4 linked regions of the Canis lupus familiaris genome follow. The protein of the gene in region 2 interacts with the protein of the main gene of each other region in a pairwise test. Links are inferred from orthologs where the notes say so. Each region holds a gene or a part of one and is shown on either strand. Other genes may lie near its edges. The genes, in order: SIAH1, ATN1, WWP1 and WWP2.

Region 1 (4,129 bases), on a different chromosome or scaffold from region 2:
TTTATAAATAATGTTTACATGCCAGAAATACTTAAGTTTTATGAAAAACATACTGTGAGCAAAAAGAGTAAAGGATTTAAAAAAAAAAAAAAACACAAATTACACGAATTATGCATTTTGAGTATTATAGGAGTTGTGGACCAGATAAAATCTCTTTTATCAAAATGTCCCAAAACACATGTAGAATTCCCTTTCTTAAAAAAATATTAAAAAATCCCTTTGGATGAATTATACAATATGGAATAAATGCTGAAACAGAAACCAGACTGTAAACAACTAAGAAACCCTGTGTTAAGTAGCTTAAGTTCAACCAAAGCTGTTTTCACTGAACTTTCCCCTCTCCCTCGGTGTTCAATTGCCCTGCTCAGTCCATTTCTTTTCCATTCTAAGGCAGCTCGAAACAGTGACAGGGAGTCAGTCACAAGTAATCCAAAGGATCACCCAGGACATCAGCTCTGATTAACTCCGCCTAATGGCAAACAGTTATCTGCTTCAGTTGTAGATTTAGGGATGGAGGGGTCGTCAGGGGAAGGATCTGCTGCCATCCCATCATGCACCTTCATCTATTAAGTCTTCCCCTAGAATCTGAACACCAGCTACGTGTTAATTAATCTTACTTCCTACTGATCAGTAGGCCCCATAATAAAGGTGGGAGAAAGAGAAGAGAAATGGAGGGTAATCTCAAAAGTTTTTAGGTACTCAGAGAAAGTACATCTTTCTACTCTATTTCCATTGCACAATAAAATTACATATAATTTGAAAAGGGGAAGAAAAGAAGTAATTAAAGAATAAAGATTAAAACACCAGAGACACATGCAACATTGGGGACAGTAAACAGGTTAAGAATTCCTTGTATCCTAGGGTTCACTAGTGTTGCTGAAGCATTCATCAGCACAGGAATAAATATTATTTGAGATAAATGTCATCTGGAAGAAACGACAACAATGTAACTAGTTTGTCAGGCTAAATGAAAGATAAAGCAAATAAATACCTTTCCCAGGAATCTACTTTGTTAGGATATGACAGGCCATATTTGTCTCAGGGATAACAAAAGATCAGTCTACTGATGTCCCAAGACTGTATTCCCAACAACTATACAAACCATATTTCTAACAAAACTAAAACTGAATGCCTCAAATTTAATGCTTCCTCAATGTAATCATTATTGCTGCAAAGAACCTGACTTTAAGAAAACAACGCTGGTTACCCATGTGACTATATAAAAGCAACTGGACTTCTAGATTACTCAAGGATAGACACCAAGTGAGGGTTGAAGGTGACAAAAAAAATAGTCCACTGTCAACTAAAGTTAATATTCTACAATTCAAGAGTCTACAAAAGTACAGAATTCCACCATAAGGTGGCTTGTCACATGGACTTAAGGGACAACGGGAATCAATTCTCATCACCTGAAACACTGTACAACCCAGGTGTTTGATTCTTTGTGAGTACGATGATCCATGCATTTTCTACCACTTGGAAACAACGGGCTCAGCCTTGCCAAAATGCCCCACGTATATGCTGTATGCCTGTCTCGTGGTCCATTTTATACTGCTCACTTATGTGAGCAATGTTAGAATTGGAAAGTGGCTCCCTGCACACAAAACAGTCTAAACCACTGATGCCTTTTCAAATTACTAAACCAAACAAGCTAATCACATCAAGGAACAGTAAACTCGGCTTGTATTCAAAATAATAGAACTAGGAAAATATAAGCAAGAAAAATACTATCGTTTCATTTCCAGACCGAGCAAATAACTATACATAATCATCAATCATTCAGGCTTACATTCCAATATTATCTTTATTACTTTTGCAAACATTGTAAAAAAAACAAAAAACAAAAAACAAAAAAACAGTTTAAATCTCTAAAGAGTGAAAACAAGTGAAATGAGGCCGGTATTTCTTGCGAATGGAGGTATTACAGGACAGAAGGTGCTAAAACCTCCCAAAGCACCAAAGGTGGAACCCAGCTCCATCTTCAAACAAAAAGAACCCCAACCACAGAGCAGCCCTGCAGTAGGAACCACGGACTCAAGTGTCTTCAGACAACCCTGCAGGAGTGATGACGTAACCTGAAGCTTGGTTTAAACAGAGAAAAGTACAGTAGATCAAAAGAAACAGCAATGCAAACTAGAGCTCAATTACATTGCAGCCACTCCCTGATCCCGATTCCCCCAGCTCACAACTTTTCCCGGTTCATACTTTAAGCATCCCAGTCTCTTGGTGTCAATACCTTTTCTCTTCCTTGTCCCAGCTGCTGGCAGACATGTGAGCAAGACGCCCCTCCAGGAGTACGGAAAAGGTAAGGGAGACTTCCCGGTCATGAGAAGTCAGGCGGCTCATAGCCCTTCCCCCAGGAGCAAACACGATTTGTAACAGAGGCCCTGCTGGATGGACACGTTCTGCTCCTAAGCACGTCGGAGTTCAAGTCTTCAAGCAGCGAAGGTAAGCGCCCTGCTCTAGGATCCCCCATTCACTCCTCCGAAGCACCGGCTGCCGCAGCAGCAGAGGAACGAAGCCTCTCCCGTCCCCTCAGGAGTCCACCACACCTCCCCGCGAGCTCCAATTCGCCTGCGTTTCCAAAAATGGGCGCCATCACCGGAGCTGTCCTCCGCTGGGCCCTCAACCGCCTGCCCTGGAAGTTTGTCTTCCCCACATTCACTAGCCCGCCAGCGTGGGTGAAGGATGGGGCTGCAGGGTGCGCGGGGGCTGGTCAGGCGCACCCCGGAGCCAGCTCGGAGCTGCCGCAGGGTCCGGCCCGCCGGAGAGCCACGCGGGGCCCAGGGCTGGGCCTGGCGGTGCTGGGGGAGCCTGCTCCAGCCCGCAGCGCCCGCCGGCCTCCGCTCGCAGCGCCCAGCCCAGCCCAGCCCAGCCCAGCCGCAGCGAGCGCGGGGCGGGGCCGGCGGGGCCTGCGGGGCCGGACAGGGCGGGGCGGGGCGGGGCCGGCGCGGTGGTCACGCCCGCAAGCCCCGCCCCCCAGCCCAGGGCCGCTGGGGCGCTGCCCCGCACAACCCAGACCCTGCCCTCGACCCCAGGCAACACTGCAACCTCACCCATTTCCACAAGCTTACATTTAGTTCGAAACATGTCTTTCTGTAGAAAACAGATGCTGCCAATTCTGTATGATTTCAACCTAAGACCTACATAGAGTATATGAGAATTACGTGGCCAGAAAAGTGCTCTTCTCCTGGTTAACCATGTGTGAACTGTGCTCATAGAGTAAAAGCACTCTCCCCACTTCGTTCACTATATACTGGGCGTCAACGACCCGATTTCCTCAATTCTAACTCACTCCTCCACTTCTATCCCTGGTGACATCATACTTGAAACTCCTTCTCTTCCTTCGAATAGATTGCAGTGAGAGTAGTAAACACCCGTAACTCTATTAAACTCCTTCAACCTCCAAACTGAGATTATATTCTCTTCCCAGTCTGGGAAAACCATCTTAAATGGCCTCATTAAACAGAGAAGCTTGTGTTTTTAAAGAAGCATTACACGGGCCCCAATAAAGTCCTGGGCCTCAGATTTGCCCTGCGTCAGGTGGTACACTCAGGGGTTTAACCTGTCATTATATCATGCTTATAGGGCAGCCTTTAAACGCACAGCAGGAGCTCATGGTGGGAATGAACCCTGTGCAGTAAATTGTAGATTACCCATTTTCCAAATCAAATTTTAGTTCCAATCACTTCCAGACCCTATTGTATTCAGTCATTTCAACCTCACGTTAATATTAGGCTACATGAAACATCATTGGGAATAGAAATATGGATGAAGTTAGATAAAGTCTGCTCACTGACAAATATAAATTATTATTACCTACATTTTCATTTCCTAATACATTCACCCTAGAGCGGTCTCAGGCTGATAGGGCAGACGACTTCAAATGTTTTAGGCATCCCTGCCTTTCCAGAGTTAAAACTGAACCTAAATGTATAAAACAAGTCAAAGAGAAGGAATGATGGGGGGGAGGGGGGATCACTTTTCCCAAACTTCCGAAAGAGGTTACAGAGCCCTACAGAGTCTCTGAAAACCATTAACCTACAGACAAACCTCTCAACAAGTGAGTCAGGACAATAAAAGTGGCATCATTCTGGAGTCTCCTACACACAGCTGGATCCAAACCTAG
Region 2 (2,450 bases):
CCAAGACAAAGGAGTCTCACCTGCATGGATGGCATCCTGCTGGTGGAGGTGCAGGTGGGAGTGGATGTGGGAGTGCTGGTGGTGATGGGGGGTCACATTGAGCATCTGCAGCCGGGCCAGTGGGTCATTGCCCAGAGCTGCCACCCTTTCTGCATGCTGCCTCTCAGCTGCCAAACGCTCGGCGTAGGACATGTCAGGCCGCAGGGCTGGCCCAGCTGCCAGCGCCAGACGTTCTCTCTCCAGGGGCCCCAGACTCGGATGAAAGGGGAAAGGGTGCAGGCCAGGTGGGCCAGGCTGCAGAGCCAGGCCCCCGTGTCGGGGGAAGGGATCCAGGCCTGGCCCAGGGACCCCATGCAGGGGTTCCAGCTCACTGGGCTTCACTTCGAAGCCAGGCTTGAGGCGGTCACGGAGGTCTCGTTCACGGGCTTCCCGCTCCCTCTCCCGGGCTGCTGGGTCACTGCTGTACAAGGCCGGGACATTGTAACCCAGGAGCCCCGGGTCCACTGCCCCTAGGGGCACGTAGAAAGGATGGTTGCGATTGCCAGGAGACATGACGTGGGGCCGGGCGTATTCACTGAGCGTGCGCAGGGCCGGAGTGTCAGGACCCAGGTAGGGGGGCACCGTGGCTACGGCACTGCCCGGCTCAAATGGAGGGCGATGGGGCACCGGGCCGAGAGATGGGCACTCCACTGGCGCCCGGCCCTCCTGAGCCAACTTCTGTGGGACACAGGGAGAAACAGAGTCAAAAGGGCAGGTCTGGGAACCGGGGCTCACTTGTCTCACCAGCTGAAGGCCCTCTGCTGGCCGGCTCAGCCCAGCAGGCGCTGCCCGAAGCCCTCTCCCGGACGTCGGCCCTCCCTACCACCCCCAGGGACTCTGGGCTGAACTGGCCTTCCACCAACGCACGAGCGCCAGGATTCCGCCCGCGGGGATCCTTCCGTCTCCGCTCCCCGGGCCGCCGTGCCTCCTCCTCTCCGACAGGAGGCGCAATGACCACCCCCGCCGCTCCGGCCCTCGACCCTCCCTGCGCGGCGCGGAGGAGGGGCCGGGAGGCGGGCGGCGCGTGCGGTGACGCACTCACCACGCTGCGTTCCAGCTCGCGCTCCTTCTCGCGCTCGCGCTCCTTCTCGCGCTCCCGCTCGCGCTCGCGCTCCTTCTCTTCGCGCGCGCGCTGCTCGGCCTCGCGCCGCACCTTCTCCACCAGGTCGGCCCGCTTCTTGGCCAGCTTGGAGCCCTCCAGCGGCACGAAGTACAGGTCGCTGCGCGCGCACGAGTTAAAGCCGCGGTCCAGGTGCTTGTTGAACCTGCCGGGCGCAAGGGCGGCGCGCGCTTAGGCCCCTGCGAGCGGCGGGAGCGGTCCCGCGCGGACCCTGCCCCGTGCCCGCCTGCGCACACCGCCAGGGGGACGCAGGGCTCCGGAGTCAGTTTTCAAAAGCACCGCAGGAAGGCAGCGTTCCCTCTTGGGCCTCCACCGGTCTCTCCCCATCTTCGTCCCCCATCCAGGCCCAACCGCATCCCGCCCCCCGGCTCACCTGGCCGACTGGCTGGCGTGGCTGGGCACGTCTACCACCTTGGGAGGGGGCGAGGGGCTACGGGCCGGGGGCACTGGGCTCTCGGGGGTCTCATACTCTTCGGCTGGCTCTTGTTTGATCTGCGTGGCATTCAGGGGCGGCCCCGAGGCGGGGGCTGCAGGCGGTGGTGGCAGGGATGACAGGCCTGCAGGCCCGGCAGGTGGCAAGGGGCCCTGCCCCACGGTAGGCGAGCCCGGCTTGAAGGTCCCTGGGCCCGCGGGCGGCGAGGCGCCTCGGTAGCCGGGTGGGGTTCCCGTTCGGAAGGAGGGAGGTGACCCCGGCTTGTACCCCGGTGGGGTGGCGGTCTTGTAGGCCCCTGGGGACGGGGCTCTCTTTCCATACGGCGGGGGCCCAGGTGGGGAAGCTGTTTTGTAGCCTGCTGGCGAGGAAGCCACTGTGGCAATGACCGTGGAAAGCGTAGCCGAGGAGGTGGTGACCGGAGGCACCGGTGGGAAGGGGTAGGGAGCTCCCTGGGGGCCCTGGGAAGGGGAGGGGTGCGAACAAGGGTAGGATCCTTGAGAGGAAGAGGAGGAGGAGGCGTTGGAAGAAGAGGAAGAGGCAGGGGGCCCATTAGGGCCTGCTTGGCTGTAGGACACCTGGCCGTGAGGTGGGGGCAGGTGTGCTGGCCCTGGCGGGTAGGGCCTCAGAGACCCCAGGGAGGGAGACATGGCATAGGGATGGGCATGATGGGAGCTACTGCTCTCCAGGGGGTGGGGATATGCTCCAGGGGGAGGGGGCCCAGAGCTCCCATGATGCTGTTGCTGCTGCTGCTGCTGCTGCTGCTGCTGCTGCTGCTGCTGCGGCTGCTGCTGCGACTGCGGCGGCGGCTGCTGCTGCTGTTGCTGGTGGTGATGGTGGTGTGTTGGGGCTGGTGGGTGG
Region 3 (3,567 bases), on a different chromosome or scaffold from region 2:
TAGAATCAAATAAACCTTGATTCAGATGTCTTTAGTGCATAGAAAATGTTCACGTTGTGATTGTAACTTTGTCTTTTAGCTTACAGAATGAAGAACCCCTGCCAGAAGGCTGGGAAATTAGGTATACTCGGGAAGGTGTTAGATACTTTGTTGATCATAATACAAGAACAACAACATTCAAAGATCCTCGCAATGGAAAATCATCCGTGTAAGTGAAAACCTGAAATTCTTAAATGTTGTTTAATGAGGTAGCCTCAAGTTTAGCAACAGATTTGTACTTTGTGGATCAAGAAAACCTATATAAGTAATAGCCCAGTATACCTATCTTTGCTTTACGTTACTACAGAATGAATTTGTAGTGCATAATGTGGTAATAATAACAATAGCAGATATTTATCTAGTGATTGCTGTATGCAGAGGATTGCTCTAAGCACTTGTAGAAACTAGCTCATTTTATTTCTCAACAACCCTTTGAGGTTGATAATACTATTTTCCCTTTTTCAGTGCAGAAACTGAGGTTTAGGGAGCATAACTAACTTGTTCAAAATCAGAAGGGAATGGAGCTGATTTCAGACCAAGGCAGTCTATTCACGGAGTATTGTGTTCATAACTGCCACATCATGCTACTGTAGTGTGAAGGAATGAGAAGTCAACAAATCTGAATTTTCCAGAAAAAAATATCCTTTAAAATATCTTAAATATCTTAAAAATATCTTAGATTCACCTTCATCCTCATTCTTAGGTGTGATTTCTTTGCATCACTTAGAAGATAGAAGCAACAATAAAAGGGGTTTTTGGTTTTGTTTTGTTGCAAATTCCTACTGTCACACCTGCCCACCTACCAGCATGTCTTCCCTCTTGATCCTATAGATGAACTATCTTTGTTCCTGTCAAAGGCCCATCCCTTTGCTGGCACTCCAGATCTTTCCCTCCCTTTCCCATTTAATTGCCCCAACAATTATCATCTTTCTGTACTCCATCATCAGGTTCTCTTCCTCTATTGAATGATTCTCATCAGCTGCTATTTCTCCTAGATGAAAAATAAGCAAAACACTGCTTTTCATTTTTCAAATTAATTCAGTGAAAACTCATTTCTGTTGCTGCCCTGAAAGCATTGTCTGTACATTGCTGTTTCTAATTTCTCTTTCAAACAAACCACAAGGAAGTTCCACTAACCCTGAGCTTGTTAAGGGCACCAGTGACCTCCACATTGCTAATGGTTAATCCAGGGGTTGGTTGCTGTTCTGTCTCACTTGATTTAGGAGCATTTGACACAATACATTTCTACCTACCTCAACTTCAGAATGTGTCCAGAATCTTCTTTACATCTTTACAAAAGACCCATCCGTACATACTTCTCACTGTATGTGTGTTCTTATTGCTCAAGCCTCTTGGCCCATTAAATGTATCTTCTTTCCTAGCAGATAACTTTCCTGTGGTCATTTGTAGGACTCTGGTATACTCCATTTTCATACTTAATATTACATATCTAATTTTATTTTGAATTAATATTTGGTTTCTTTTTTTTTTTTTTTAGAACTAAAGGTGGTCCACAGATTGCTTATGAACGCAGCTTTAGATGGAAACTTGCTCACTTCCGTTATTTGTGCCAGGTACTACAGTGGTAAATAAATCTTATATTCATAATAATTTACTCTTATCTTTATACTATATATATACTACAGCTTACATGATATCATGATGTTATTTTTGTTTTTAGTCTAATGCACTACCCAGTCATGTAAAGATCAATGTGTCCCGGCAGACACTGTTCGAAGATTCCTTCCAACAGGTAAGGAAGATTTTATCAGAATAAACAATACAATTTGTTCAGTTATATTCTATATATATAAAGGGAGTTAGGGTTTAAAAATTTTAAACCATGACTGCCAGTTACTGAGTGTCCATTATAATAATAGTCCTAATAAACCCCATCATGTATTGAGTGATTGCCAGTGCTTGGCCCTGGCATCTTATATTTATCCTTTAATTCATTGTCACAACATCCCTTTGAGATAGCTCTTATCATTATGTCCATTTTAAATAAAGCTTAAACAGCTTCTGGAACAAGTTGATACATTTTGACACTAAATTTTCTGAGATTTTATTAACTCAAACAAGTCTTGATAATACTACCAAATTAAAATTGAATCAGTATAGATACTCTGTTCCATTTAAGTATTCTTCAGTAACCCTAATGTTCATTCTTACCTCTTGTAGGTTTGTTTAAAGGTTATGGTCTTAGACCTTGTCTGAGCTCAGTAGTTAAGATGGCAGTCCCTGCTCACTTCCCTCATAGTCCCATTCTAGCCATTTATCCTACTTTATTCTTTCAATAACACTTAGCACCACTTGACCCATTTTATTTGTTTCCCTTACTAGAAGGTAAGCTCCATGGGAGCACAAACTACCTCACTTACTGCTGTTATGCTCAGTACCTAGAATAGTGTCTTGCATAAAGCAGGTATTCAGTAAACATTTGGTGAATGAATAAATGAATGTAATATGTCTGCCTTTCCTGAATCATCTACAGGATATATAAAGATAAAATATCAAAATATTGAATTTTTTTCTGATGACGTGGAGAATTTTTCATAAAAGTCTTCTCATTCCTCTCCCAGAAGTATTACAGTGATGAATTGAAAGCCCCTGTATATACATGTACCCAGGGACTTGTACATAAACAAGCCAAAATAGCAGCATTCTAAAGTCAGAGATGTTTAAATCCTAGTTTAATTTTACTAGCTGTTGGAATTTGGGCAAGATACTTAATGTAGCTATTATCAAAACTTTTTTTTGGTTGGAGTTAATTCTTAGCTTGCTCTAAGTTCTTGAGCTTTATTGTAGTTTGAGCTTTATTGTAGTAAGTTGTACATCCAAGTCACGAAAGACTTTATTTTGCCTTGTCCTCTGGTGTGGGGAGAATGATGGTCTATTTGATGTGCATGACTGCCTATGAGGCAAAGTCCTGCTGGTGAGCTGTGCCGTCACACAAACATCAGTCTTGGCTTTGGTTTTGACAGATGTGTGGTGGAAGTAGTTAATTGTTATCCAGAAGTAAAACCTGTTTGCTAGTAATCCAATGTAAGGCATTAAGGACTATGGAAATTGGATATGGGTATTGTATAAATAATTCTTTGCTTTAGCTGACTGAGTCCCTTTCCTACTGAGAAATGGAATATGTGGTATAAGCAGGACCCAGAACAAGCTCTTTGCTTCTTATCAGATGTTGCCAGTTAAAAAAGTATAAGTCACCTTTTACAAGATTCTGGTAATTTGGGGCGTGACAGGGGAAGGAGTATTTTCTAAACTTAAAAGCTTTCTGTGTCACTCTTCCTCTGTTGCCACTGATCCAAAGTAGAACTACCGTTTAATACTAAAAGAGGGGAAAGAGATTTTAGAAGGTAAATCACAGAAAGCTTAATAGAGTAAGGTACATCTCTACTAGTTTGTGGAACATACCAGTTTATCTCTTGAGTTGAAGGCATTGTACAAGATAAGGAAATGTGTTATTTTGGAAGTGGAGATTAAATTTAAACTGAATTGTTTTGGAAGAAACTTGTGCTG
Region 4 (4,187 bases), on a different chromosome or scaffold from region 2:
AAAGCAAAGGTGAGTAAAACCGTTGTTGCCATAGTTTGATTCAGGGCAGTGCCACAAATCTGAGCTGTTGTCATTGTATTCCTCACCACAGCACACTCAGTAAAAAGAGAACAAAAAGCCAGTTTCACTTAAGAAAATGCTAGATGAAACAGTGAAAATGATTAATTTTATTAAGCCTTGACTCTTGTACATGTCTTTTTAAATATTCTTTGTGATGAAATGGGAAATATGCCTAGGGCAGGCACTTCTGCATACTGAAATAATGATTGTCTTGAGAAAAAGCACTTGTGTGAGTTTTGAATTGAGAGCTGAATTGCTTTTTTATGAAATAATCTTTTTGCTTAAAAAAAAAAAACACGAACAAACTGAAGTTACTAGATTTGGGTATTTGGCAGACACTCTTCAAGATGAATGAAGTGAGCCTGTCACTTGAAGGAAAACAACTGACAGTATTTGTTGCCAATGATAAAATATGAGTTTTTAAAGTGAAAATCAGAATTTTGGAAAAAAAAAAAAGAATTTTGGAACGCTTATATCTGCCACTAAGAACTTGACAGTTTCCCAATGCTTAAAGATCTGTTTGAGAAGATCAGTGGTGACATTCACAAATGTGCTTTTTTTTGATAGTGTATAATGAAATGTCAACATTTGGAGTATCTGCATAGCTCAGTGAACCAATATTTTTCAGATGACAAAGGATAATGTCACAAAATTGTTATATGAGTAAAAGATCTATTCAAAACGCAAGGCTTCTGGCCAAGACGAGTGACCTGGATGCCTGATGGCTAATGATGTCAAGAATAGGCTCATTGGCCATTTGTATATCTTTTTATTTATTATTTACTTATTTATTTCTTTTTATTTATTGTACAGAGAGAGTATGCACACAATAGTGGGGGGGGGGGCAGAGGGAGAGGGAGAGAGAGAGGATCCCAAGCAGGTTTCTATACTCAGTGTGGAGCCCGACTCAGGGCTTGATCTCACAACCCTGAGATCATGACCTGAGCCTAAGTCTAGAGTCTGTTGCTTACTCAACTGAGCCACCCAGGCACCCCTCTGTGTATATCCTTTGTTGATTTATGAAACTGGATTTTTTTTTTTTTTAACTGTTGAACTGTGACTTTCTTTTTGAGAGTGTTATATTAGGCTCTCTCCTGTAAATGGTGACATCGTGCGCCCTTCCTAGTTGAGCAGAGACCCATCTAGGCTCAGGAGTCATTATAAGACAGACAGCCTCCACCCTGACAGAAGTTGCTTGGATGTTTATATTTTCTTGGTTCATCTCTTTCAACTCAAATATGAAAGTTGGGTGCAGTTCTTTAATTTCTTTCCAGGTATCCTCTAAACCTACTGTTGCTCATCTTGCAGTTTTCTGGTGATGACATGGCATCTGCTAGCTCCAGCCGGCCAGGAGTGGCCCTGCCTTTTGAGAAGTCTCAGCTGACTTTGAAAGGTGAGTGGCAACATGTGAAATGTTTACTATTTGAGGCCCAGCCCAATCTTTGAGGAAAAGGCAGGGGTATGCCCACCTGGGTGTGAGAGCCAAACACTGTGAAACAGCTTAGGAATGTGAACTATTTATTCTCATAGGGTGACCATGTTGTAACTAGAATTCTATTTTTTCTTTCTTTCTTCCTTTTTAAAAAATATTTTATTTATTTATTCATGAGAGACACAGAGAGAGAGAGAGAGGCAGAGACACAGGCAGAGGGAGAAGCAGGCTCCATGAAGGGAGCCTGACATGGGACTCGATCCTGGGTCTCCAGGATCACACCCCGGGCTGACGGTGGCACTAAACTGCTGGGCCACCAGGGCTGCCCTATAGCTAGAATTCCTTTTTTTTTTTTTTTTTTAAAGATTTATTTATTTATTTATGATAGAGAGAGAGGCAGAGACACAGGAGGGAGAAACAGGCTCCATGCCAGGAGCCTGATGCGGGACTCAATCCCGGGACTGCAGGATCGCGCCCTGGGCCAAAGGCAGGCGCCAAACTGCTGAGCCACCCAGCGATCCCCTATAGCTAGAATTCTTAAAGAAGAACGATAAAAGGAACTTTTGGCAAAAATTGTTGAAAATGGTGATTCTGTGATGCCCCAGAACCCTTTCCTATCGATACTCATTCCCTAGGTTAATCTCATCCAACCTCATGACTTTATTTATTTATTTGAGAGAGTGAGCACACACAGTGGGGAAGGGCAGAGGGAGAGAGAAACTTTGACAGGCTCGTGCTTAGCAGAAGCCCAGCTACCTGATCTCAGGACCTGAGCTGAAATCCAGAGTCAGATACTTAACTGGCCACACCATGCAGGTGCCCCCCAACCTCATGGCTTTAAATGCCACCAATAATAAGGTCACTACTGCCAAAATTATGTCTCTAGCCTGGGCCTTTCCATTGATAGATTTCCAGATTTTGTATCTCTAGTAGCCCACTTGTCATTCCACTTGAATGTTTAGTAGCCATGTAAGCTCCTGGTTTTCCTTTATCATATCCTACGCTCAGCCAGCTGTGAACCTGGCCATGTCTGTCTGTCTTCGGAATGCAACTGTCGTTCAACCTCTTCTCACCACCCCCACCATCCCATGAGCTGCCTTCATCTCTACCCTTGATGAAGGCAGTAGTCTCCCTGCTTCTGTCCTTTGCCCTACTTCATTCTGTGGGTCACATAGCAGGCATGTCAAGGGCTTAAACATGTTGACAACTGGCTCTCCATCTCACCCAATAAAAGCTAAAGGTCCCACATGATGGGACCCCACCCATCACTCCCATTTCTCATTTCCTGTTACTCTTCTACCTAGACCCTGCTGTAGCCACATGGCCTCTTTGCTCTTCAGGGACTATACTGGGCACACTCCCACCTCTGAGCCTTTGCACTTGCTGTTCCCTTCGAGTGGAATGCTTTGGGGCCAGACGATTACCTGGTTTGCTTCCTTACTCTCTTTAGGTCTTTACTCAAAAGTCACCCTCTTCAGCCAGGCCTCCCTGATCCCTCTGTAGCCTCCCCCACACCCCACTTCCTCATGTCTATCCCCTTCACTACTTTATATTTGTCTTCTTAGGCTTGTCACCATTTAACACAGCACACATATGTATTTTTTAAGATTATTTGAGAGAGAGAGAGAGAGAGAGAAACTGCACAAGTTGGGGAAGGAGCAGAGAGAGGGACGAGCAGACTGAGCCCAATGCAGAGCCCTACTAGGGGCTCAACTTCATGACCCTGAAAGCACAATCTGAGCCAAAAATCAGGAGTTGGAGGCTCTAGTGACTGAGCCACCCAGGCGTCCCAACACAGTACATATTTTTATGTATTTCCTTTATTGACTGTCTCCTTCAGTAGAATGTAAACACAAAAATAGGAATTTTTCTCTATTTTCATTACTTTTGAAAACCCAGTGACACAGAATAGTACTGGATACATAGTGGGCTGTCAGTGAATATTCCTTGAATGACAGGTTGCTTTGGTGGCCTTAGCTCTGGAGTCATGGAACTGACTCCTTAGTGGAGTCATGGAACTGAGAGATGCTTGGGGAACAGTGCTGAGTATCAGAGCTCAGATACACGGTCATTTGGAGGCAAAATTGTCTCATTATTTTTTAATTTAATTTAATTTATTTTATTTTTAGTTGTTTTTTTAAAAAAAATTATTTGTTTTTATTGAAGTTTGATTTGTCAACGTATAGTATAACAACCAGTGCTCATCCCATCAAGTGCTCTCCTCAGTCCCCGTCACCCAGTCACCCCAACCCCCTGCCTGCTTCCCCTTCTGCAACCCTTTGTGTCTCATCATTTTTTAAATTATGATTTCTGAAATATAAATGTTACTCATTTCTTTTATCTGTTTATCAGCCTTAAGATTGTTTCCTTCCCTCCAGCTCCTCAGTGCTCGTCCTTGGAGGAAACTAATATACCAGTTTCTTTTCTTTCTTTCTTTTCTTTTTTTTTTTTTTTTTAAAGATTTTATTTATTTATTCATGAGAGACACACAGAAAGAGAAAGAGGCAGAGACACAGGCAGAGGGAGAAGCAAGCTCCATGCAGGGAGCCCAACATGGGACTTGATTCGGGACTTCAGGATCACACGCTGGGCCAAAGGCAGGCTCTAAACCACTGAGCCACCCAGGGATCCCCAATATATCAGTTTCTTGTGTGTCCCTTCTAAGTACATCAAAGGGGATATGATTGTGTAATCT

The links.
Region 1: the proteins of ATN1 (region 2) and SIAH1 interact in a two-hybrid assay, tested with the Homo sapiens proteins (2 studies listed by BioGRID and IntAct). The link is inferred for Canis lupus familiaris from reciprocal best matches to the Homo sapiens genes ATN1 and SIAH1.
Region 3: the proteins of ATN1 (region 2) and WWP1 interact in a two-hybrid assay, tested with the Homo sapiens proteins (2 studies listed by BioGRID and IntAct). The link is inferred for Canis lupus familiaris from reciprocal best matches to the Homo sapiens genes ATN1 and WWP1.
Region 4: the proteins of ATN1 (region 2) and WWP2 interact in a two-hybrid assay, tested with the Homo sapiens proteins (2 studies listed by BioGRID and IntAct). The link is inferred for Canis lupus familiaris from reciprocal best matches to the Homo sapiens genes ATN1 and WWP2.

The regions. Positions count from the first base shown.
Region 1 is NC_049223.1:65,986,534-65,990,662, reverse strand, and holds the start of SIAH1 (E3 ubiquitin-protein ligase SIAH1), read right to left. Parts: upstream 2,825-4,129; 5' UTR 2,328-2,824; coding exon 2,237-2,327; intron 1-2,236. UniProt on the Homo sapiens protein: E3 ubiquitin-protein ligase that mediates ubiquitination and subsequent proteasomal degradation of target proteins.
Region 2 is NC_049248.1:7,986,496-7,988,945, reverse strand, and holds part of ATN1 (atrophin-1), read right to left. Parts: coding exon 1,533-2,450; intron 1,305-1,532; coding exon 1,082-1,304; intron 718-1,081; coding exon 21-717; intron 1-20. UniProt on the Homo sapiens protein: Transcriptional corepressor. Recruits NR2E1 to repress transcription. Promotes vascular smooth cell (VSMC) migration and orientation. Corepressor of MTG8 transcriptional repression.
Region 3 is NC_049250.1:33,231,007-33,234,573, forward strand, and holds part of WWP1 (NEDD4-like E3 ubiquitin-protein ligase WWP1), read left to right. Parts: intron 1-79; coding exon 80-208; intron 209-1,537; coding exon 1,538-1,613; intron 1,614-1,720; coding exon 1,721-1,792; intron 1,793-3,567. UniProt on the Homo sapiens protein: E3 ubiquitin-protein ligase which accepts ubiquitin from an E2 ubiquitin-conjugating enzyme in the form of a thioester and then directly transfers the ubiquitin to targeted substrates.
Region 4 is NC_049226.1:80,504,294-80,508,480, reverse strand, and holds the start of WWP2 (NEDD4-like E3 ubiquitin-protein ligase WWP2), read left to right. Parts: upstream 1-1,380; 5' UTR 1,381-1,383; coding exon 1,384-1,453; intron 1,454-4,187. UniProt on the Homo sapiens protein: E3 ubiquitin-protein ligase which accepts ubiquitin from an E2 ubiquitin-conjugating enzyme in the form of a thioester and then directly transfers the ubiquitin to targeted substrates.